Xenopus tropicalis: one gene and its partners. The protein of the gene in region 4 interacts with the protein of the main gene of each other region in a biochemical or structural test. Links are inferred from orthologs where the notes say so. Each region holds a gene or a part of one and is shown on either strand. Other genes may lie near its edges. The genes, in order: ptpn11, yap1, shc1, erbb4, abl2, nrg1 and syk.

Evidence for each region.
Region 1: the proteins of erbb4 (region 4) and ptpn11 form a complex in vitro, tested with the Homo sapiens proteins (2 studies listed by BioGRID, with this or other methods). The link is inferred for Xenopus tropicalis from reciprocal best matches to the Homo sapiens genes ERBB4 and PTPN11.
Region 2: the proteins of erbb4 (region 4) and yap1 form a complex in vitro, tested with the Homo sapiens proteins (2 studies listed by BioGRID and IntAct, with this or other methods). The link is inferred for Xenopus tropicalis from reciprocal best matches to the Homo sapiens genes ERBB4 and YAP1.
Region 3: the proteins of erbb4 (region 4) and shc1 form a complex in vitro, tested with the Homo sapiens proteins (2 studies listed by BioGRID and IntAct, with this or other methods). The link is inferred for Xenopus tropicalis from reciprocal best matches to the Homo sapiens genes ERBB4 and SHC1.
Region 5: the proteins of erbb4 (region 4) and abl2 form a complex in vitro, tested with the Homo sapiens proteins (2 studies listed by BioGRID and IntAct, with this or other methods). The link is inferred for Xenopus tropicalis from reciprocal best matches to the Homo sapiens genes ERBB4 and ABL2.
Region 6: the proteins of erbb4 (region 4) and nrg1 form a complex in vitro, tested with the Homo sapiens proteins (2 studies listed by BioGRID and IntAct, with this or other methods). The link is inferred for Xenopus tropicalis from reciprocal best matches to the Homo sapiens genes ERBB4 and NRG1.
Region 7: the proteins of erbb4 (region 4) and syk form a complex in vitro, tested with the Homo sapiens proteins (2 studies listed by BioGRID and IntAct, with this or other methods). The link is inferred for Xenopus tropicalis from reciprocal best matches to the Homo sapiens genes ERBB4 and SYK.

The regions. Positions count from the first base shown.
Region 1 is NC_030677.2:163,806,652-163,810,755, reverse strand, and holds the start of ptpn11 (tyrosine-protein phosphatase non-receptor type 11), read right to left. Parts: upstream 2,801-4,104; 5' UTR 2,611-2,800; coding exon 2,597-2,610; intron 1-2,596. UniProt on the Homo sapiens protein: Acts downstream of various receptor and cytoplasmic protein tyrosine kinases to participate in the signal transduction from the cell surface to the nucleus. Positively regulates MAPK signal transduction pathway. Dephosphorylates GAB1, ARHGAP35 and EGFR.
Region 2 is NC_030678.2:162,266,733-162,269,320, forward strand, and holds part of yap1 (transcriptional coactivator YAP1), read right to left. Parts: intron 1,451-2,588; coding exon 1,260-1,450; intron 60-1,259; coding exon 1-59. UniProt on the Homo sapiens protein: Transcriptional regulator with dual roles as a coactivator and corepressor. Critical downstream regulatory target in the Hippo signaling pathway, crucial for organ size control and tumor suppression by restricting proliferation and promoting apoptosis.
Region 3 is NC_030684.2:145,082,904-145,087,171, reverse strand, and holds the start of shc1 (SHC-transforming protein 1), read right to left. Parts: upstream 2,801-4,268; 5' UTR 2,086-2,800; coding exon 1,489-2,085; intron 1-1,488. UniProt on the Homo sapiens protein: Signaling adapter that couples activated growth factor receptors to signaling pathways. Participates in a signaling cascade initiated by activated KIT and KITLG/SCF.
Region 4 is NC_030685.2:57,165,216-57,168,715, forward strand, and holds part of erbb4 (receptor tyrosine-protein kinase erbB-4), read right to left. Parts: intron 2,903-3,500; coding exon 2,770-2,902; intron 1,015-2,769; coding exon 921-1,014; intron 1-920. UniProt on the Homo sapiens protein: Tyrosine-protein kinase that plays an essential role as cell surface receptor for neuregulins and EGF family members and regulates development of the heart, the central nervous system and the mammary gland, gene transcription, cell proliferation, differentiation, migration and apoptosis.
Region 5 is NC_030680.2:99,860,116-99,863,615, forward strand, and holds part of abl2 (tyrosine-protein kinase ABL2), read right to left. Parts: coding exon 2,021-3,500; 3' UTR 1-2,020. UniProt on the Homo sapiens protein: Non-receptor tyrosine-protein kinase that plays an ABL1-overlapping role in key processes linked to cell growth and survival such as cytoskeleton remodeling in response to extracellular stimuli, cell motility and adhesion and receptor endocytosis.
Region 6 is NC_030677.2:96,880,261-96,883,760, forward strand, and holds part of nrg1 (pro-neuregulin-1, membrane-bound isoform), read right to left. Parts: intron 2,432-3,500; coding exon 2,308-2,431; intron 1-2,307. UniProt on the Homo sapiens protein: Direct ligand for ERBB3 and ERBB4 tyrosine kinase receptors. Concomitantly recruits ERBB1 and ERBB2 coreceptors, resulting in ligand-stimulated tyrosine phosphorylation and activation of the ERBB receptors.
Region 7 is NC_030677.2:138,474,559-138,477,028, reverse strand, and holds the end of syk (tyrosine-protein kinase SYK), read right to left. Parts: intron 2,381-2,470; coding exon 2,240-2,380; intron 1,667-2,239; coding exon 1,554-1,666; intron 1,198-1,553; coding exon 1,125-1,197; 3' UTR 501-1,124; downstream 1-500. UniProt on the Homo sapiens protein: Non-receptor tyrosine kinase which mediates signal transduction downstream of a variety of transmembrane receptors including classical immunoreceptors like the B-cell receptor (BCR).

The DNA of each region.
Region 1 (4,104 bases), on a different chromosome or scaffold from region 4:
GTTTAAATTTGGACTGTCTGCTTAAAATATTCCTTTTTGTACTTTGTGCATTCTGCTTCTCCCCTACCCTATCACCTTTTGTGCTTCTTTCCCAAGGTAATAAAATAAGGTGATGTATCACACTCTTGCATACCCACTCATTGCTAGTTTTAGCCATCAATATGAACATGAGGTCACAAGTTCAGAACATAATCAGTAATTTGAGGAAAATGTTATATTACTTACCCTAGCTGAGTAACTGGCACCTAAGCAATATGGTAGCTCTTACTTTTAAGAATAATTATCATCAGTCACAAAATGGACAAAACATGGAAAATGTAGTACAGATACGGGAACTGATATCTGGAAAGTTGTTATCCAGAAAGGTCTGAATTAAGGCCAACTCCTATAGAGTCCATTTAAAGCAATTACTTGTAATTTAAAAAAAATGAATTTTTCTCTGTAATAATAAAACAGTACCTTGTATTTGATATTAACTAAGCAACATTATTTCCTATTGGGTTTATTTAATGTTTAAATTATTTTTAGAAGACTTAAGGTCTAGAGATACAAGATGCCTTATCTGCAAACCCCAGGTCCCAAACATGACAGGAATGATAGCATCCGATTTATGTTCCTCTGAAAGCTACACATCAGCATTTCCCCCATCAAAGCCTGTAACATGTAATATTAAGTTTCTCAGATGACGTGTATGTCTGCTGCAATAAGAGAAACTACCAAAGTTAGAGCAGGGGTCTCCAACCCTTTTTACCCATGATCCACATTTTAACTGTAAAAACATTTCGGTCGACTCCTTCGTTCCTCGCAGAACAACCGTTTGGTTGCGCCCCCCACCACTACTGCTGTTTCCCGCCTTAAACCTTTCTGCCTTGCTGCCCCTTACATTTGGAATGCCCTCCCCGATTTCCTCCGGAGAGAATCCTCCCTCAGTCTTTTTAAATCTAAACTTAAAGACTACCTTTTGGAGCACTCACCCAGCACCTGATCTGGGAACTGGCACTTATATTGTAGTGTCACCCACTGTGACCTACAGAACTTACATTTGCCCATTTGTGTCTGTTAGTTACCCCTCCCATATAGATTGTAAGCTCTACGGGGCAGGGACCTCCTTCATCTTGTTTCTGACTCTTATTGCAACTGCACCTTGTATTTATTGTTGTACTTTGTATTTATCCATTATCTTTAACCCCCTGTTTGTATTAATGTATTCTACTGTACAGCGCTGCGTACATAAGTAGCGCTTTATAAATAAAGATATACATACATACATACACACACACACACAAGCATGAAAAAAGTTCCCGGGGGTTCCATATAAGTGCTGCAAATGGTTTTTTGGTAGCCTCTCTGTGGACTGACAGGCTATATGAGGCTCTGCTTGGCATAACAATTGGTTTTTATGCCACCAACACTTGCCTCCAACCAGAAATTCAAAAATAAGCACCTGCTTTAAGGGCACTGGGAGCAACATCTAAGGGGTTGGTGAGCAACATCATGCTCCTGAGCCAATGGCTGGGGATCACTGAGTTAAAGGGACAATTGTATCTTTATTCATTACTTAAATGTAAAGTGATCAGTATTCCATGGCACTTGCAATGTGATCTCATTTTAGCAGGACAAACTAGACAGACAAATGCTGTAGTTTTACTGTGGCTGATCATAAAAATCAATAGTCAGTCTGCTTGGTCAGAGGCAAGTCTGCCCCTTTGCTTGAGCTGCCTGTCAGGTGAAAGAATTGGTGTCTGGTAAGAAAATGTGTGGAGACAGCTTGGAATAAGGATGCTGTTACACAAGAGAATAAGCTGCCTCCCTCCCACCCACCATGGCTAAATAAATAAGATATATGTACCAGGTTGCCAGGTTATTAACTACACCCACTTTGTGTTTACATACATGTCAGTACATTCTCTACTTCAAAGAAAATATAAAAACAAAAACAAAAAAAAAACATTGCTTAATAAAAACCTGTACTTGTAGACACTTTTAAGCACGTATTAATTACACATTGTAATTGTTTTAAAGGTATTTGTAAACAAATATACCAGCTAGTATCGATGTGCCTATTTTTATTCTCTGCCCTGATGGCTCTGAGGTTTGCAACAATGTAGCCAAGGCCAGCTAATAAACAGCCACAAAGAAGCACACTTCTGCTACAGTGTTTGAAAAGAATATAGATTCACATATTTCTTGAGGCGCTCGTTCTTTAAACGGGGTCCCAATCGCGTTAACAACTAAAGGAGCTCCACTTTCCAGTGTAATGCCAGTGTAACGCCAGTGTAATGCCTATGTCCCGTCAGGAACAAATGAATGAATGAGCAAGTACAACGAGTAGGAACTACACTTGTTTGGGGATAAGACGTTCCGCCTCAGCTGCTGCGAGTTGTAGTTCAGCCACGGTTGCTGGGGTAGTGTGGGACTGTGGGACTTTTTGATCCTTCACAGCTGGAAAGTACTAAACCCGAGCAGCGCCACATGCAAAAAGCGAGCAGACAGAAGAGAAGCTTCTAAGACAGCATAAGGCGCAGCGAATAGGAAAGGCAGACAGCGACTGACAGTGTTGACAGAACAGATACAATGAGACTTTGCGCAATCTCACCTCCTGGATGTCATTGTATGAGCCCAGCTCCTGGTCTCTGTGACCCGCACTCACTCTCTAGCTCGCCCCCTTTGTGCGCTGTTTTGGGACGGAGGCTGCAACACCGACCCGCCGCGTACACCCCCTTCTCTCCCAGTCGGTGGCTGACTGATTCAGAACGTTTATTTGAGTGTTAGCTCCATGGAGGCCTTAAACTCTACAACCAACTCTGCCCGGTCCGCAAAGGATGACGTCATTAGACAGCGCCAAGTCGAGGAGACGAGTTGTTGTACTACCGCTTCTAACTTAAAATACACCAGTAAAGTTGTGCAGAGAGTGGTATATTAAAGAATGGCATCTGTGTTGGCCACGATTTTTGACGAAATATTCTGTTTCTAACTTCTGGGGCAAGCAGACGACCGGCCTTTATTTCATCATTTCCGGCTTCATTGGATGGCCAGATTCTTTAATAACCTGTGTTTTAACTGTCAGCAAGTGAACCAGTCGCTAATTAAGGGAAAGCGATACCAAAGCACCATTTGATGAAATTACTATACCGCTTCTATCTGTTTGTAGATAGTATTAGAATGGAGGACTACGTTTCCCAGAGTTCCCAGCGGCGGCCGTGACGTAACGCGGCAGGTTCTTATACGTGCGTTGCCCGGATGTTAATTCTTTTTCCTTACAGCCAAGGTAGGAATGGCGGTTCCTGTAAAATAGACGTACTAGTGTGTAGTTTAATCTGCTGTAATCCTAGCCTGCATGATTGTCCACATCCTCTTAAATCCACGATGTATGTTACTGACCCTGTCTAGCATCTTTTTATCTCTGTATTTTTGGTCTTTGGCGTCCTGTTTGGCACAAATACCGGATGATCGGTCGGAGTGGGGTTTGAGGCCGCCGAATGCTTGTTGGCATTTTCTTTACTGAAAGGAAGCATGTAGTTTAAGAGCTTTTGCTACGTAGGTTTATCGTTTAAAACCCTGGCCCTAAATCTCCTCTTTAGAGTTCCGAAACGCCGTAGAAGCCACTACTTGCAAATCTGTCAATAAATGCATGTATAATGCAGGATTTGCTGTCTAAATTAATATTTACCCACTAAGCAACTTTCCTGCATCATGAAAATAAAAAAAAAAAAGTAACACTGTATGAGGGCTGATTTGTGTTCATCTATTTCAAGGGTCCGAAACAGGAATACACAACTGCATTAACAAATGCCTTAAAATTATTTAATTGTGCACTTCTTGGTTGAAGATCCATTTATATGGTTAGGGCAGCCGAAAAGGTGACTTATGATGTACTCTTGAAATAAAGTAACAGAAGTTGCCCTCACGTTTATGGAACATCACCTAGAACAACTTCTTTAGTCCCTCTTTTTGTTTCTTGCTCACCTTTTAAAGAAGGAAAGCCCTTGTGTTTTTAAATTGAGTTGTTTGTAATGGTAAATGTTATTTAATTACCTGTTCTACTTAGTTGTAACTGACCCCTGTCAATGTGGTTGAAGGGATAGCCGCATTAAATGTAAGCCT
Region 2 (2,588 bases), on a different chromosome or scaffold from region 4:
GGGTTCTGAGTGCCGCCGTCCTGCTCCATTGGTGGGATCTGGCTGCGGAGAGCGAGTTCCTGGAAAACAATGGATCCTGTGTACTATTAAATTCAATAACTGCTTGTTTGGTTAGGGAAAGCGGCAGAATATATCTGCTTCAACTGTACAACTGCATCTGCCCTATATATGGGCAACTGCCCGAATGCATAGGGGCACAACCCCATGTAGGTTATCTGCCCTCTGTGAGCTTACCCCAAACAGCAGCTATAGGGGCCAGAATATAACCCAGGGGATATCATGTGAGCTGCAGTCTCAGATCTCCCATACACTACTATGGATATCATCCAATTACCCCTATGTAGTATGAAAGCACCAAGTTAAAGGTAAAACAGCGGCTCGTGGGATGATTTTACAGGTATAAGCATAATGGCATGTGAAAGCAATATGGCGGCTCACTCTATGCTCTGTATACTAAATCATTCCCCTATACCATTTTCTTTAAAAAGACAGTAAGGTCGGTCCAACTCTTGCAACCCTTTAAGAGAAACAGGGAATAAAAGCTGTTTATATACAGAGTTTATATCCGGTTTGTGGGCAGCAATAATGATCAAAGGCTCGGGCACACAAAGGGCTCAAATCCCTGAAGAAAAACGTGCAGCCAACGCATGTCAGCGACTTGTTATAGAAACAACTGCGTCGCGGGGGAAAAAGAACACAATATTGTCTGAGACGAGCTCTGGGAAGGTTTCTGCTCAAAGACAGGTTTTTCAACCCGAAAACGAGAAAAACCAGAGAAGTTTATTTCAGGTATTCAGCGAGGTGCTGCACGGCAATATATTGTCTGGCTTTAAAAGGAAGCGATTAATGTAAAGCCAAGCGATATTATTTACAATGGGATCAGGGCGGGCAGAGAATCAGGGTGCCACGCTGACTCCACAAGTGTTACAGTTAAGCTGCCGGCAAACCAGTTGTGAGGGTGATGCACCTTGTGTGCCAAAAGCCCCCAACTCCTGCCAAGGCCAGGGCTTCATTAGCCAGCCCGGCTCTGTTACCCCATAGTGCAGCGGGAAGGTGCTGTTAGGGGTGCAGCCTGGTGGGTGAGACCAAGCTTTGGGGGGGTAGTCATTGTTCATAGGTTTCACGCCTAGTGTTGGCTACAGAATGCCAATGACCCTCAGTACCCGAGCGCCCCAAGTTGAGCACAATCTACCATCCCCTTGGCTACTCTTATAGGACAAGACAAACACATAGATAAGAAACAAAAGGCGGTTTCTAACCTGTGGCCTCACCTGCCGAAGCAGTTCTTGGTGCTTTAGCCGGAGACGCTCTTTCTCCATCTGTAGCTGTTGGAGGCGCATCTGTTGTTGGTTACCGCCACTGCCTAGCACCCCACTCTGAGGGCTCTGGGGCGGTAACGCGGGCGGCGATTTGACTGGGGCGCTCTGGCTCAACCTCTGTTGATTCATAGCTGAAAAAGAAAGGACATGGTAAGTTTAGCCTTGTTTGCAAACACATTCCTAAAAGGAGCACCTGCCTGGGGGGAAAAACATTGCCATTAAATTCACTGGGGGTGCCCAACATTTTGGCCCCCACCCGACTAGTAAATTAACCTTTCATTGTCCTTTACCAGTTATCAAGGCAACGTATCATGACTGGGGCCAAGTTTTTAGATCCTCAGATTAGGGTTTTGTTTGAAGTCTGTGTAAAACTTCCCACCTACAACAACTTACCCTCAGGTGCCAGTGGTAGGTACAATGGGAATCTGCCAATAAAGGATTATGCAAGTAGCATTTGCTGGTATCTCACTGCATCTAGTACTGGCAAATGTATAAAAGAAACAGCGTTCGCTGGATCTGGGGCTTGTGATAGGTCAATTCAGGCTGACTCAATAATTTACCCCCTAGCTAAAGACGTGTTCATATATAAGAGCTTATGGCACCCCATCAGGTAAGAGCACATAGAGAAATAGTGATACTGATAACATTTGTCTGTCAGCTAATCAGAACCTTTCTCTACCACAAAGTGTGTCGTCACTCAAAGCTTAAGCCATATTTGAGATCTACACAGGTTAGTAAGTGGTGAGCTGGGGGTGGCAGGGGGCACAACCAATAGAAAAGATGAGTGACACTAGGGTATATATAGGCACGGAGACACCTCCCTATTAAAACTGAAAGTGTCAATGTCCCTGCAGTGGGCTTTCCAGATGGGATTTGCACATCTGTCCAGGCAATAATCTACTGACTTGATCTGTATAGGCTGAGCCAGCAGCGAATATTGGCCCATGTATGGGCAGCTATAGACCGGCTGATGCTCTATGTAAGCAGTGTGACCAAATGCCAAACAATGGCCATTGGGCACGGACCCGACAAGCAAATAAAAGAGCAACTCATCTAAGCCATCAACATTGGAAAGGGCAACGTGCACCACTTTCCTTGTTTACCTATAAACTGCCCAAAGGTAAAGATAACCTGCAACCGACAACCGTTCAGGCAGTGTAGACACAACACGTCATGGAAGCCACAGGCAGGGCCAAAGGGCCATAAATCAGCAAAAACACACTGTGCCCTCCTGCCACTAGAAATGATTTATGATGTAGAACCAAATGT
Region 3 (4,268 bases), on a different chromosome or scaffold from region 4:
GGGTAGGGGCACAGACAGCAGGTAGGAGTAGAGGGTAGAGATTGGGACTAGAGGGTAGGGGCACAGACAGTAGGTAGGAGTAGAGGGTAGAGGTTGGGACTAGAGGGTAGGGGCACAGACAGTAGGTAGGAGTAGAGGGTAGAGGTTGGGACTAGAGGGTAGGGGCACAGACAGCAGGTAGGAGTAGAGGGTAGAGGTTGGGACTAGAGGGTAGGAGCACAGACAGCAAGTAGGAGTAGAGGGTAGGAGCTGGGACTAGAGGGTAGGAGCACAGACAGTAGGTAGGAGTAGAGGGTAGGAGCTGGGACTAGAGGGTAGGAGCACAGACAGTAGGTAGGAGTAGAGGGTAGGAGCTGGGACTAGAGGGTAGGGGCACAGACAGTAGGTAGGAGTAGAGGGTAGGAGCTGGGACTAGAGGGTAGGGGCACAGACAGTAGGTAGGAGTAGAGGGTAGGAGCTGGGACTAGAGGGTAGGGGCACAGACAGTAGGTAGGAGTAGAGGGTAGGAGCTGGGACTAGAGGGTAGGAGCTGGGACTAGAGGGTAGGAGCTGGGACTAGAGGGTAGGAGCTGGGACTAGAGGGTAGGAGCTGGGACTAGAGGGTAGGAGCACAGACAGCAGGTAGGAGTAGAGGATAGAGGCTGGGACTAGAGGGTAGGGGCACAGACAGCAGGTAGGAGTAGAGGGTAGAGGCTGGGACTAGAGGGTAGGGGCACAGACAGCAGGTAGGAGTAGAGGATAGAGGCTGGGACTAGAGGGTAGGGGCACAGACAGCAGGTAGGAGTAGAGGATAGAGGCTGGGACTAGAGGGTAGGGGCACAGACAGCAGGTAGGAGTAGAGGATAGAGGCTGGGACTAGAGGGTAGGGGCACAGACAGCAGGTAGGAGTAGAGGATAGAGGCTGGGACTAGAGGGTAGGGGCACAGACAGCAGGTAGGAGTAGAGGATAGAGGCTGGGACTAGAGGGTAGGGGCACAGACAGCAGGTAGGAGTAGAGGGTAGAGGCTGGGACTAGAGGGTAGGGGCACAGACAGCAGGTAGGACTAGAGGGTAGGGGCACAGACAGCAGGTAGGACTAGAGGGTAGGGGCACAGACAGCAGGTAGGAGTAGAGGGTAGGAGTACAGACAGTAGGTAGGAGTAGAGGCTAGGACTAGAGGGTAGGGGCACAGACAGCAGGTAGGACTAGAGGGTAGGAGCACAGACAGTAGGTAGGAGTAGAGGGTAGGAGCACAGACAGTAGGTAGGAGTAGAGGCTAGGACTAGAGGGTAGGGGCACAGACAGCAGGTAGGACTAGAGGGTAGGAGCACAGACAGTAGGTAGGAGTAGAGGCTAGAACTAGAGGGTAGGGGCACAGACAGCAGGTAGGACTAGAGGGTAGGAGTACAGACAGTAGGTAGGAGTAGAGGCTGGAACTAGAGGGTAGGGGCACAGAGAGCCCTGGTAGCCCAGAGAAACAAAGCCCAAGAAAGAGAAACATGGCCTTACCCTGACCAGATAGGGAACCCCGGGGCCCATGACCTTGTCGTCGGGGTGCAGCCAGCCTCGGGTGGGCTTATTGACAAAGCTGCCGTGCCGGGTCCATTCGTCGCCGGCCAGTTGGCCTCCTTCCACCCGGGACTTTCGCCCGCAGCTCAGTTTGTTCATATCCTGTGAGAAAACAGTGAAAGTCCGGCCTGATTCGGGGCTACTGCCTTCATTGGGGGTGTCCCCTTGCTCCCCGGGGCTGGCGCTCTCCTTCCCCCCCATGGAGGAAGAGAAGCTGCGCAGGTTAAGCAGGTTGGCCGGGTTGGAAAGTTTCAGGTTGGCCATTTTGGGGAAGAAGGAGCACAGAGTGGTGGGGCTCTCCTCCGACTCAGAGGACAGCTCGGCCAGCGGCAGCATTGGGGCAAGGGAGGAAGACGAGGCAGAGCTGGGCAGGGACACCATGATTTCCACCGAAGGGCTGAGGGGCCCAGCGGCCAAAGCCTCTTCCACCGAGCTGACCGACTCATTGCGAAGGTGATTGTATTTGGTTTTGGGAAGCAGATCCATGATGCCAGCTGCCAGCTTGCACTCGACAGCAATGGGGGGTCTGGTTCTCATAGTCCGGTACCGGGCAAACCTGTATACACGGATCTCCCTCCAGAACCCCACATTGGTACCCCTCCAATCAGCTAGAAAGGGGCAGCCAGGAGCCGGGCTGGGGCATTGGCTTGAGTGCCGGGGAGAGAAGAATCCAGCGGGAGACCAGCAGGTTCTGATCCGGGAGCCAGAGAGAGGAGAGTGTCACTTGGTGCATGTCCCACTCACTGTGCATGGGGGCCCCCTCCCACTGATCAATACATTCCCTACACGGCCGCTGATGGGTGGGTACCTCTCCCCTGGCCTGCGGGGCCCCGGCACCCTACGGAGAGAGGATATGGGAGAGCCGGCAGCACCGAGCAGGAAGGCAGCAGAGGAAATGCTGAGGGGGGGGGGAAATAAATCCATATATTTATATCTCCGATGTGCGGCTGGGGGCTCCTCTGGGGGAAAGGTCAGCGAGGGGGGGGGCTAATCCTTGTGGGAAAATGTGCAGATGGACACCGGGCCGGGGGAGGGAGCCATTCCACCTGCCTTCCTACCCATCTCTGGGGCAGGGAGAGAGCTCAGGTGCAGGGGGGGTGGGAGCCTTGCACTGTGTGCGAGTGTGAGTGAGGGACGGTGAGTGGGAGTCGGGATGAATGGAGCTGGGGCTGCCTGATTACCTATTCACTGGCTCCCAGGAGAAGGAGGCTGCTGCTGGCCAATAGCACGCGCTCTGCTGACTCACCCAGCTACTGCCCCCCCCTCACTTCCTCCTCTCAATGAAACCCACCCCCCCCCTCCTACTCACTACTGGGCCCCGGAGCTGACTATCTACTGCTTGCAACAGTCTCCCCATACATCACAGCCCTCAGTTCATCTAAGCCTGGGGGGCTCAACCAGCATGGAATAATGTGGGGGGGGCACAGAACACTAATAAAATATATATATTCCCAGTCACTTGTCTTTAGGGACTAACTATGGAATGGGGAGCTAGGGGCCCAGCCTGAAGGCCAGTTAGGGGTACCCCTGGAACTATAGCGGGGTGACTGTTACCCAAATGTTTCTATATATCTGTAACCTTGTTATGGGCTAAGGGGGCCCAGCCTGAAGGCCAGTTAGGGGGGGATTTGGGGTGAGTGCTTATTTGTGCCCTGGGTACCCCTGGAACTATAGCAGGGTGACTGTTACCCCAATGTTTCTATATATCTGTAACCTTGTTATGGGCTAAGGGGGCCCAGCCTGAAGGCCAGTTAGGGGGGGATTTGGGGTGAGTGCTTATTTGTGCCCTGGGTACCCCTGGAACTATAGCGGGGTGACTGTTACCCCAATGTTTCTATATATCTGTAACCTTGTTATGGGCTAAGGGGGCCCAGCCTGAAGGCCAGTTAGGGGGGGATTTGGGGCGAGTGCTTATTTGTGCCCTGGGTACCCCTGGAACTATAGCGGGGTGACTGTTACCCCAATGTTTCTATATATCTGTAACCTTGTTATGGGCTAAGGGGGCCCAGCCTGAAGGCCAGTTAGGGGGGATTTGGGGTGAGTGCTTATTTGTGCCCTGGGTACCCCTGGAACTATAGCGGGGTGACTGTTACCCCAATGTTTCTATATATCTGTAACCTTGTTATGGGCTAAGGGGGCCCAGCCTGAAGGCCAGTTAGGGGGGGATTTGGGGCGAGTGCTTATTTGTGCCCTGGGTACCCCTGGAACTATAGCGGGGTGACTGTTACCCCAATGTTTCTATATATCTGTAACCTTGTTATGGGCTAAGGGGGCCCAGCCTGAAGGCCAGTTAGGGGGGATTTGGGGTGAGTGCTTATTTGTGCCCTGGGTACCCCTGGAACTATAGCAGGGTGACTGTTACCCCAATGTTTCTATATATCTGTAACCTTGTTATGGGCTAAGGGGGCCCAGCCTGAAGGCCAGTTAGGGGGGATTTGGGGTGAGTGCTTATTTGTGCCCTGGGTACCCCTGGAACTATAGCAGGGTGACTGTTACCCCAATGTTTCTATATATCTGTAACCTTGTTATGGGCTAAGGGGGCCCAGCCTGAAGGCCAGTTAGGGGGGGATTTGGGGTGAGTGCTTATTTGTGCCCTGGGCACCCCTGGAACTATAGCAGGGTGACTGTTACCCCAATGTTTCTATATATCTGTAACCTTGTTATGGGCTAAGGGGGCCCAGCCTGAAGGCCAGTTAGGGGGGGATTTGGGGCGAGTGCTT
Region 4 (3,500 bases):
CACTGAATCGTTTTTAAGAAGAACTAAAGCTTAAGTAAAGAAGTAGAGCAGAAATGTTCCATATTATGTTTTGGGTTTCTGTATCAGCCCCAGTCAACCACAGCCCTTTAGCAGGGAAGATATGTGCCTCCAAAGATGCCCCAGTAGCTCCCCATATTCTCTTCTACTGATTCACTGTACCTGCTCTGTGCTGCTTTCAGTTGCTGAGCTTAGGAACTGCCTCACAATATACTTTATATATAGAATATAAATGTCACACACAATATAAGGCTGATGAATAAAAAATTTGGATTAGTACATGGCATTTCTGAAACCTGTATAATTAGCATCAGAATTTATTAATGAGGCCTGCAGCATCAGTTTATATGGTAGTAAAACCTCATTTTCTGATTGATAATTTGTGACCACAACTAAGCTTCTCAACAGTATGTGCAGTGCCACTGAAACTTTAACAAAATCCAAGATAACTCTGAAGACCTGAGTCATTACTACTATAGAGATGCTGAACCTTTAGGCTGTTGCAACAAGTTCAGTATATTACAACAAAACCCCTTAGTAAGTCTGTTTTTATTCTGGTGAAGAAGAAGGTCCATAAGCTCCGTGCGAAGTAAGCTGTGACTAAAGCAATCACTCTAACACGTGCCGTTCCGTTAGGCCTAATTTTCTTTGATATCTCACTTAAAAAGAGAACTATATGGAAAAGAAATGGATCCAGCTTTCAGCCAATTATTGTACAGCTCTGTGTCTCATTACCAACAATCAGAGCCAGCAGTTAAAAATGTCTTGCCATGGATCTGAATCATTGGCCATTTGCAGTAACAAGAAAAAAAAAAAAAGATACTGTATGTCCATAAAGTAATGGCTACAGCAATGTGAGTGCTTTTTGACACTGTACTAAAGACCACTGTGCTAGTCCTTACCGGCCCATAGCAGGTGACTATGCTGTCTTCCATCTTCTCGCATTGAGAGTCACACATTACACAGACAGAGCCATTGACAAATTCACGGGATTCTCTGTAGAAAAATGTTTGAAATGGTGGAGAGATCAGGATATAAATAGTACTAAATATATATGTAAATAAATATCTCTTACTCTTAGCTATTTGTTTATTGTCCGATTAATAATTGCACAGTGCACGTACCTGACCTTGTTAGAGCAACCCTGAAGGTAAGTACTGCTAGAATGTGGTCTGAAATTTACCATTCTTCATAGCCAGCAGCCCTTTACCCTAAAACTAATATTATTAATTCCGCTTAATTCAACTTGGTCTGCCCTTTCTGCTACTTTATGAAAACTTCCTTTATGTTTGCAGATGTGACAAAATACTGTTATGCTTTTAGTTCTATTTCTCCTCCACTAATTAAATGCGCTTTATAAATGAATGCCACAATTGTGTTTGAGCTCATTTCATCAGGAACAGTGAAGTTCAGAAGAGATGGAACTGAAAACCAATAAAACAAAAGCAGAGCAAGTGGGAAAAGGCAAATCAGTTGAGGGAACGTGTGAAAAGAGATAAGGTGTGGAGGAGAGTTCAGCGGGAATGAAAAATGGAAGGGAGCGGAGGAAATGTCCCTGCTTTGCCAGGAAACATCCGCTAATTAAAATGGATGATCTCGGGGGGGAAGAGGATTTCATTACAATGAAAGACTGTTTATTATCGTGCTGTAGGAGGGACACATGGAAATTGATGGTGCATTCTTAAGGATCATTATATTTACTGATACACAAGTGACGGAGGGGGCTAGAGCTTTGTTTGGAAATTCATCAGATTAACCAGTGCAACACATAAAGGCACTAAAGCATGTGAAATGCAAACACAGGGCTGAAGTTGTAACATTGTTATCATTAGATGGGGTTTGGGAAGGAGAGACGTTTAAATATTATTATATAGTTTAACCTATTCCCTAAGTAATTCTAATTTTCCAACACTTAATATCCAACATAATTATTTTTAATAAACAGCACTTTTTATTTTCTTTACTTATATTATATTGCTTTGATTTGCTTCCCTTGAATAAGAGCCAAACAGTGGTCAAATACAATTGTGCACCTTCCTAACACAAAATAAACAGGAGGGATATCCCACAAAATCTGACAGCTCCCTCCTACAGTGCATCTAGATCATCTCTCAAAGATCCAGCAGGTACATGGCGTCTAGCAGCTTTTCTATCTACATGTAAGAAGGTGAAACATGTTCATGCTACTAATAAAGTGTAAAGTGTATAACAGAGAATAAAAGGAACAGGAAACTGAGAGGCGACGGCCTTTTTGGCAGTAGGAACAGCAGTTTTTCTCATAGAGACAGGTAAGCCTGAAGTGGACGTGGGGATACCAGCAAAGGCATTTGTGGTCATCAGAGTATTTTGTGTTAAATAAAAGATAAAATTGGTCAATTGGAGGAGTCTTCCACATATTATTAAGGAGCTCCACTCCAACAGCTAGTCAAATTAAATTCTTAAGCCTTTAGCTAATTGGTTTCAAAACTGAATCCAAGCAGCTTCAGCTGTTGGTAAACTATACCTCCCAGTACCATAAACTGGGCAATATGCTACACTCGGGTTGCCCCTTTGCCAAGATGTTCTGCAAATTTTAGTAACAATTTAACTCTTTCCTACCCTTTTACAACCCCCACTGGCTGTAGAACAATGCTTGCAGTTAAACTTCAACTAGTCAACTTATTTTGATAAGCTGATTTGTACATTAATTTATAGCAGTTACCAAATATTGGCTTGAATTAGGCGTGTCAAATACTTCCCTTATTCTCTTACCCTTTATAAAGGTTGCAGGATCTGACACATGACTTCCCTCGGCTGAAGTATCGACAGGACAGGCACTGATTGGCCCCTGGACCCCAGCACCCAGCATTGGAACAGAGAGGGTCACAAACCATTCCTTCTGCAGCTGCATAGAAATAAGTAAGGTTACATGGCAGTAACAAATTAGCTGGGTTTGAAAAAACTCATTCATAAATTTACCTTTCTTCCTAAATACAGCTTAGCTTCCAGCTTGTCTAGCAACTTTCAACAGCTTTGATAAATATGCCACTATGTTAAAAACTTTACTGAATATCAAGAATCCCCAGTCTGATCAATAATAAAACTGCCCCATGTCTTATAAGAAACACATCACTGAAGCTGTAAGTTCGCCTGTACTGTAACCGCGCCCATTTTTACATGCCCATTTTGATGCGTCCTTGCCTATTTTGACGCACAGCAAATTTTTTCACACCAAAATTTTGCTGAAATTTCGCGAAACAATTCGCCAATGGCGAAATGTGGAAATTCACTGCAAATCCATGGCTGCCGAAAATATTCGATCATCACTAGATGCAAGTACCTTTAATAGAAATAATTTTAAACACAAATAAGCCTTATATGTTTTTATGATTGCATGATGGGGGTGATAGCAGCAGAACAAGGAAAGGCTACTCCCTTGGTAAATTCTTGTCCCTGTACCCTGATGCCACCACTTTGGCCATGCTGAGAGAAGTTACAGAATG
Region 5 (3,500 bases), on a different chromosome or scaffold from region 4:
TCTGCCCATTAAAGAAAGTATAACCTATAAGATCCTGTTTTTCACTCTGTAACCCTTGTTGGTGAAATTATTTAAGATCCCTGTCAGTTAAAAGTTAATGTAAAGCACGATTAACTTTCTGATGCCATATAAATAAATGATGAGATGTGCTGGAGAACTCTACCTATAGTGTTAACATAGAGAGGTCCCTTGATTGGGCGGGAGAGCACGCACACCTTTTTAGTTTTGATGTGCAGGGAAATGTGTTTGCATGTACAAGTGCTGCCAGTTATTCAGCTTAAAACTCCAGTTCTGCCTATTTTCCAGTATAGTCCAGGTGCAAGTACTTCGGGCCATTGTAACAAAAATATGAATTAATTTAATACTGTACCAACATATCGGCCGAATATAACCATTCCAATGTAGAATACTTTTTATACATTGATTTAAAGAGCCTGAGTATCCTACTCTTATCCTGAAAACCTCCCAGGAAACCTATCATCGTGCCAAGGGGAAAAGACTGGGTTTTTGCAATGGAAAGAAACATTCAGTGAATCAATGTTTTTGAAACGGTCTCAATAGCAGCTTCTATTCAAAACAGACAATATTAATGCAAAAGCAAAATAATATGGTAAACTTCTACCTCAATTGCTTTTACTGAGAAAGGTGATCTACCTTTCAGGTACTGATAAACCATGTATAATTTCCATTAAACTAGAGGGGGAAAAAATTTACAGCTCCTTAAAATTGGAGCACTTTTAAATGGCTAAATTCCTGAAAAATATACCCACAAGCATTGCGCTTGGCTTTCAATTTAAGCTGCTTAAAATAAAAGAATGGCAATAAAATACAAGCTGCTCCTCAACATTATTGGGTAACACTTCAGCTGCTCAAGGTCTCCCATAGCATGGCTACTGAAAAGACAGGAGAGCATTGCTTTCTGAGAAAATGTCCATTCCAACTCCGTTTAAAACTGCATGGATTTCAACAATGACCTGTGCTAAATTATAAAATTGTTCAGGAATGTTGTTAATAATGAAACAGGGGCAACACAGATTGACTACAGTGATGCCGGGTGTAATGGCTGGAATGAACTAGCAAAGGGAAAGTAACCATCAACATAAGCACTATAGAAAAAAAAAAGTTTAGTCTTTTTCATGTAAGATCTGTGCCTACAAAAAGGCCATAATGGGTATTATGAATTGTCCACTGCAAAAGAGGCCTGTTCCTCAAGGGGCCCATATTAGTATGGTGCAAAAGATATGGCCACCAGGCCCCTTTAGCAGCAAAGAAGCTAAATGAGGTATAGACACAAAAGAGCATATTTATTATAGTATGAAAGCCAACTTCACTGGTGATATTGCTCTTAGCAACCAATCAGCAATTAGATTTAAACTGTCACCTACAAGTTAGAAAACAAAAGCAAAGATCTGACAGGTGGCTATGGGCAACATCACCAGTGATGTTGGCTTACTCACTATAATATATATGCCCCAAAGGCAGTTTTCCTTCCAACACTTCCCATACAGTGATACTCTCTTTTTGCTTTCAGTTTTTCTTACTTTAAATGACACTAGACCTAACCACCACTCATTCCTGGCACTATCTAGACACAGAAATGCTTATCAAATAAAGAACATTCCAACTTAGCCAATATCCTATTTGGACCCAAACAGTAGGGAGGAAAGAAATCTCCAATTTAAAATATATAATATACATATATGTCTAAAAACAAAACAAAAAAACCTGAGATGGGATAGGAAGATATGGAGAAGAAACATAAAATATTTACTGGATATCGATTTCTCTTAAAATATTTACTGCTGGGCTGCATTGCCTGCCAGTATTTTCCAGCAGAACTGACATGTTAAAACCATAGTGCTGGGGAGGCCAAAGCCCCTTTACTGGCCAGTCCCAGCGCTGAGGTTACTACTCACTGCCTACACACAGCAGTGTATTTCATAGTGGGAGGATGCTATTTTATAAAGCTGGGTTAGAAGTTAGAAATGCCTCCCACATTTTTCAGCATAAATATCAGTAGCTACCTCTGCACAACGTCACTGATTTCCTGTACACATGATAACAAGTGATTCAGTACAGGATTTGCACCAGGGGGAGCTGTGGAGGCACCCCCACTACCAGCTGAAGACACCTGCAGTTCCTGTAAGCTCACCTCCAGTCGACTGACAGCCTCACGAAAGGCAAATTTATTTCTTGTTTGGGAGATAGAGTCCACATAACCTGTACAATAGTCCAGAAGTTGATGTCCTGTATCTACAAGTTGACTGTTGGGTTGGGGTAAAGCGAGGGCATCGGATAGCAACCCTGCACACTGAAGAAGAGCCTCTTTGCTTATTTTTTCAGCAGGAACCCTCTCCGTTGGCTGCTTTGGCTTCCTCAGCACACTTCTTCCAACCCCAGCTGCTCCATTTGAGAGCTTTCCTGTCTGGTTAACAGAAGGCGGAGGGGGTAACATAGGCCTAGAAGGCTTAGTCGTCCTTTCCAAGCAAGGTAGTGTAGGTGCAGCAGTGGCTGTGTCCTCAGCTTGTGGAGGCTGAAGAAGGCGCAGGTTTGGGGGAGGTGGTGGGGCACACTTTGGCTTAAGCCGGCGATGAGAAGGCCTATCCCTCTCAGAGCCAGTTGGTGGGACGTGTTCCTGAAGCAATTTGAAGGTGTGACCCAGGGAGTCCATCCCAACCAGTTGCACCTCAGTAGATGCATTCCTTGGTGATGGTGAAATGAGAACGGGCACCTTGTGGTTGTGGGCTGCTGTAGAAAAGGCTGAAGTTGCACCTCCTGTGTGCTTATTGGGTGATGACTTCTCATCTGCACCAGTTCGCAAACCACCATTTCTCTCACTAACACCAGTTCGTGGAAGCATCTTGGGCTTTACCCTGTCCCTGACTGGCTGAATCTCTAATCCACTCCTTTGAAGGTCATGCTGGCTCTCTTCAGGCTGTGAGGAAATGGAGGTGGTACGGTCCAATTGGACCTTAGTCCGATGGCAATTTCTGGGCAGAGTCATAGACAGCCTGTCTTGTTCAGGAACCGCAGGAGACATTGAAGAGGTTGAATTAGACCGGGGAAAAGGTTTGGGTTCCTCCCCACTGCTTCCTGACTTTCCTGTTCGCAGTCCAAAAGTCTTTTTGATAAGACGTGGAGTAAAAAAACCAGAAATTCCAGTCCAGCCTCCTCCTATTCCTCCTATGACATCTTCTGGTGGAAAACTACGTTGTGATCCACCACCATAGCATTTATGGGAACCAGGGGATGCAGGGGAGTCTAAACTATCAAGCTGTTGAAATGAAGGGAGTTCTCCTGTCAGCTCTGGCCTTTTATGAGGTTGGTTTTCCATTTCTCGAAATGAACTGCTGCGTTTTGGGGGCTGTGGGGCACTTTTTTTCTTCATGAAAGAACTGAAGAATCCCCCTTTACGGTCACGGGTGAAGGTTGTTTCCTTGGTGTCCCCCAAAAGGCTGCTTGGGGATTTATCCCTCTGTTTGCGTGGAAGTGCAGGAGAG
Region 6 (3,500 bases), on a different chromosome or scaffold from region 4:
TGCATTTTGCTTCTTTAGGGCATCAGCAGCTCTTTTATGATCCTGACACCAAGGTGGAAAAAAATGTAAAAAGTGAACATTTTAGTTTATACCTTCTACAAACCTCATGGTTGTAGACTTTACTCAGCACATTAATTGATAATGCAAATTAGCAAAAGTATTCTAACTGAAAAATATATAGACTTACATAGCCTGTTTATAAAAAATAAAAGAGCAAAAATACAATGTGGCCTGATGGATAATATAAAAATACATTGTGTTGATAAACTATAAACATTAAATAAACTGAAGGCCTTAAGGATAAAAATAAGTTGTGTTGATATACTATAAACATTAAATAAACACATTTTTCATCACCATAGTCAAAATAACAGCAGATTATAGTAAAAGATTAAAACAATCACTTATTGATTGTGAAAATAAAATTAAACTGGTTTGGTATAGACAGTTGCCCCTATATGTAATTTGCCTCTACTTGCCCAGGTGCAGTAACGTAGAACAACCAATAAAGTGCTTGCTTTTAAACCGATGATCATTAAATGTTAATTTCTGAATGATTCGTATTGGTGACCAGTACCAAACTTTGCATCTTTTATTACATAACCCCCGTATAGTTTACCAGGCTTCTAGATTGTAAACTCTTTTGGGCAGGGCCCTCTTCTCCTTCTGTATCACATTATTGGTTGCTTTGTATATAAATCTGTATATTCATTGTATATACCCATTAACTGTATATAGCACTGTGGATTATATTGGCAGTTTGTAAATATGTGTTATTAATGTAATAATGTAATAGCTTCTAACACTTATATAAATACTCTCTGTATTAAATTGAATGGGTAAATTTAATGGGATTGTGGTGGTGCCTAATGTGCATAGAAGAAGAAATTATTTTTACACTTATGATATTCATATTGACAATGTTACACGTGGAGTTGTTTTCCCCACGGCTACTCAGAATCTCTTCTAATCTCTCCTAATTTACTTTGGACAATCAACTTGTTGCTCTGCATTTTTTGCTAAGAGTTGCAATTAAGTTAAATAACAACTTGAAAGCATAAACACTGCTATATCAGTACAGTATTACAATATCCACATGAAACAAATACAGTTTTAAATGTTCACTTTTATAACCCAGTGCCATGTAAAAAATCAAAAGCTATGTAACATATTAAAGAAAAAGGAAGAAAGTAATATCCAACAAGTACTGTGCTTTTGTTACAGAAAATTAGTAAATACGTTCTTATTCCCCCTTATTTATACATGCTAATATGGTTTTTATTACATGAATAGGTAATATATGACTATATGATATATATGATTCCAAGCATAAGTCCAATTTTGAGAAAGGAGCATTGAAGTGCTGAAACTTTTGTTAAAGATACCTATCAAATGTTATGTACACTAGATAATCAAATCTGCATTATTATTGAAAAGGAAAAATACACAAATATATTATTCTTTAAAGAATATAATTTTCTGTTTTTTGTAGTAATGTAATGGAAATATGTAGGCTATGAAAGTAATGAAACAATTGGGTGGAACTAGGAAGGGATCATACAGCATTTCATACTAAAAAAAATTGTGTTTTTGGCTGCTCGCTATTATTCCAGGTCATTTTAGTGAGTTCAGATATAAATGAACTGATTGCGTGTTTGCATGTGTGCTTGCTGGAGGTTATATAGAAGATTTATGGGGTTATGTAATAAAAGGCACTAGGTTTACACAGGAACAGTAACCCATAGCAACCAACCAGCAGGTAACATTTTTGATCACCTGTTTAAAAGCAAACATTTTATTGATTCTATGGGTTACTGCTTCCAGGTAAACATAATGCCTTTTATTAAAAATGGGGGTAAATGTGGTATTTTTATGGTATTAAAAAGGTTTTATCGCTATACTGTGTATCCATATTACCTTTTTTGGCTAAAGCAAAAAGGGTAATATGAAATGTTAAAAGCATAATATAAGCTATAGATTTACACTTTTCTGAATACTCTAAGGACAATAAACCAATTTTTAATTGGTAAAAAAAAATTATTGTTTTCAGGTTTTATCAAAATGTGCTAAAATTACCCATTAACTATAATATGTAATCTTAGAAGATGTATAATATTTTCATAACCCGACATCACTTAACAATGTTCTGGGACTTGTCATTCAACAACAGCTTGATGGCCAAGAGCAGGACAGCCTTGCAGCAATACCATTACACTTCAAAGAGCACAAGACTTTAGGTTGGATAGTTACTTTCCAGTCAAAATAAACATGTCATTCAAAGTATTGCAGTCTGTAAACTTGTCTTACTTGCACATGAACTGGTTGCTGCTTGTTATACCATTGAGGACATAGCACTCTCCTCCGTTGACACAGTAGGTCTTTTCTTTGTCTGAGCATTTTATAAGGTGACCTGGTCCAGTTGTGGTGTCACCTGACAAAACAGATAATACCATTAGTGCACTAGTATACAGGTTTATTAACTGTTGCACTTATTATCATGCCACAAGAATAGTCTCTCAGTTGACCCCAAAATCAGGATAATTTTATTACAAACTATTGAGGAGATTTTTGTACATACTGGGAATTGCAATGTCAGGTGAACAAACAGGTTTGTCATTACACCCATTCAATATATCAACAATCATATTGAATTTACATTGCAGGTAAATACCTGCAAATACCATATCTAAATACCCATTATCCAGAAAGTTTAGAATTATGGGAAGGCCATTGCTAATATACTCCATTTTAATTTAATAATTCCATACTTTAAAGCATACTTTCTTTTTCTCTGTAAAATAAAACCGTACCTTGTACTCAATCTCACTTAAGATAGTATTAATTCTTATTGTAGACAAAACAATTCTATGGGTTTAGTTAATGTTTAATTTTTTTTTTTTTTTTAGCAGACACAAGTATGGAGATCCAAATTATGGAAAAGACCTCTTTTCCAGAAAACCCCAGGTCAAGATCATTCTTTATAACAGGTCCCATACCTGTACAGATTTTAGGAAATACAAACATACTAACAAAACTATTGGATTAATTTAATTGCATAAAAATGTATACTATAAAATTAAAAGGACCAAAAATTAGTTGGCTGTAAAATATTAAAACTCAAATATAAATATAAAGTATATAAATATACTTGCCCATATGACAATGGGAAAACATGCACTAATTCAATAACCAATAGCATATCATACATATTCTTAAGGTGGCCATACATAGGGTGATTAAAGTTGCCAACTTATTGTCCTGTGTATGGAACCTTCAGATGGACCTGCCCGACTGATACTGATCGAGCAGGTTTAAAAATCCCTTTAGGGTGAAAAGTGCATTGGCTTATTGATGCAGTCCTCACCCTGATGGCCCACATCCTGTCACTGTGATCCAATTGTTTGGCCCAAAGGCTAACTGGATCAATAAGATAAAGATCTGCTCATCTGGTGACCTTGCTAAGCCTATTGCTCAGTGTATGGTGAGCTTTAGTCTTCCCT
Region 7 (2,470 bases), on a different chromosome or scaffold from region 4:
CTTATACCACTGTGACCTACATCACTTATATTTGCCTATTTGTATCTGTAAGTTACCCTCCCATATAGATTGTAAGCTCTACGAGGCAGGGACCTCCACCCTCTTGTGTCTTTGACTCTTAACTTATTGCAACTGTAACTGTATCTTGTATTTATTTGTATTTATTGTTATACTTTGTATTTATCTTTTATCTTATTAACCCCGTTTGTATTAATGTATTCTACTGTACAGCGCTGCGTACATAAGTAGCGCTTTATAAATAAAATTATACATACATACATACATGGGAGGCTAATCCCATATGTTGAGGACATTTCCACTCTAACATTGACTTGTGGCTTCAACAGGACCCAATATGTACAAGATTTTCTATTGCAGAAATTTTGGAATCTGAACATAAATATAAATGACCTGCTTGCAGCCCTCAAGCTATATTTTAGTGAACTCTGCCCAACTCTGATCTACAGGGAATCAGTTGTGTGCAACAACGTAGACAGTACTACTGAAAACTGTTTTATTTGGTACATTATTAGACTTTACAGACAGGTATATATATATTAAAAGAGCATTTAATTAAGTATAAAATAAACATTTATTAGTTATAATAACTGTTACATGCTCCAGTATTCTCAGCACCATACTGCTAAAAAATAAAGATGTTTTCATATACATATACCTATTTTGAATTTAAAAAACACACATAAAAAGGCCATATTCAAATGGAGGAATGGAATCTATTATCCTAAATGCTGGGGACCTGAGGCTTTCAGGATGAGGGGTCTTTCTGTAATTTGGAGCACCATAGCTCAAAGCAAATAACAATCCAATAGGATTGTGTTGCCACCAACCTGGATTAGCTACATTACCATCAAGTACATGGAACTGCTCTATTAAAACAAAGAAAAAGTAAATAACTAAAGAAAGAAGAATTGATGACTTAAATAGGACTCTATGGAAAAGGACACTGCTGTATTTTGTAGCATTCTGTATACTGGGTTTCTGGATAATAGAACCCATTCCTACACACATACACACACACACAGATATACACATGTGCACTAATCACCCAAACACCCTGAAAAAGTTCCTGGTTGTGCAAATGTGTCTGTCCCTTTGGCTTCAAATCAGTGAGAACTATCATAATAATAACTGCGCAGTTTCAGTTCAACTACAGCAAAAGATGGTCGCTCCTCTGTCCTGTAAAAGAGATAGGTGGGAAACAAGTAAATATCCAAATATCAGAATATCCAAGGCTATTGTGATACTAATATCTACAGTTAGTATTAGTGGTTGTATATATAGTTTATGTATGTGAGTGTATAGATAGGTCACTATAGGTTGTGTGTGTTGGGTTTACTTGGATGGGTTGAACTTGATGGACTCTGGTCTCTTTTCAACCCTATGTAACTATGTAACTATGTAACCATGATGAAAGATCAGGGGGCTGATTTGCAGTTATAGGTGATATATTGCACTTGTTCACTTGTCCAAAGCAACCAATTAGATCTTATCTTTTTTGTAGTAGGCTAATAAAAACTCTGCTTCATACTTACTTATATGTCCAACATAATTTAATTAAATTGTACATTTCTGCAGGACAACGTCGCGGGCACTCCAAGCGGTTTCCAGATTCAATAAAAGCTGTCACTTCATTACCTTTCATTCCCTGATAGAATATAGAATGCAATCATTATATTGGTGTTGAACTTTGTTTTCTCTTTCCTTGTAAAAGCTGCCATTTGATATTCTAATGGTGGATGATGAATTACGTATAAATATCATCTTCCTATATAAAATGTATTTTTTTTCCCTGCCCTAAAGTCTGTACAACCAAAATCCTGCAGCACTACCTAGATGCGGTAATATGGGAACAAAACAACTTATTGGTTGCTATGGGTTACTGCCCCTCGCAATCTTAGTGCCTTTTATTACATGAGGGGGTTAATAGCTTCTGCTCAAGAATGGAAATAAAGAGTCTTTATGAATAAGATGTATTTTGAGTTGTGATTTAATATGTTGTTTAGCAGGGGCATAGATAGTATGGAATTGGATTCGCTATTAAACTAAGAGAACTAGACCGTGGGCAACTGAGTATATCCTATACTTCTCTAAAGGGGTATATCATCCAACAGACTCTGCCTACCTATTGTAAAATGAAAACACATTAGGTATGGCAAACAACACCTCCTAACAATGAAACAATGATAAATATAATAAAACAGAAGAACCACCAACTTACCGGATATGGCTTTAGACCATAGGAATATGCCTCCCACATCAGAACTCCAAAGCTCCATACATCACTTTTGCTTGAAAACTTATGATAGTTTAATGATTCAGGGGCATACCATTTCATGGGCCATTTACCCGCAGTCTTTGCCTTTAAAGAAAGCACACATGCTATAGTATAAATGAAAATCTTAGTTGGACACCAGGCTGATTCTTCTAGTGCTGAGTGAAGGTCACATAA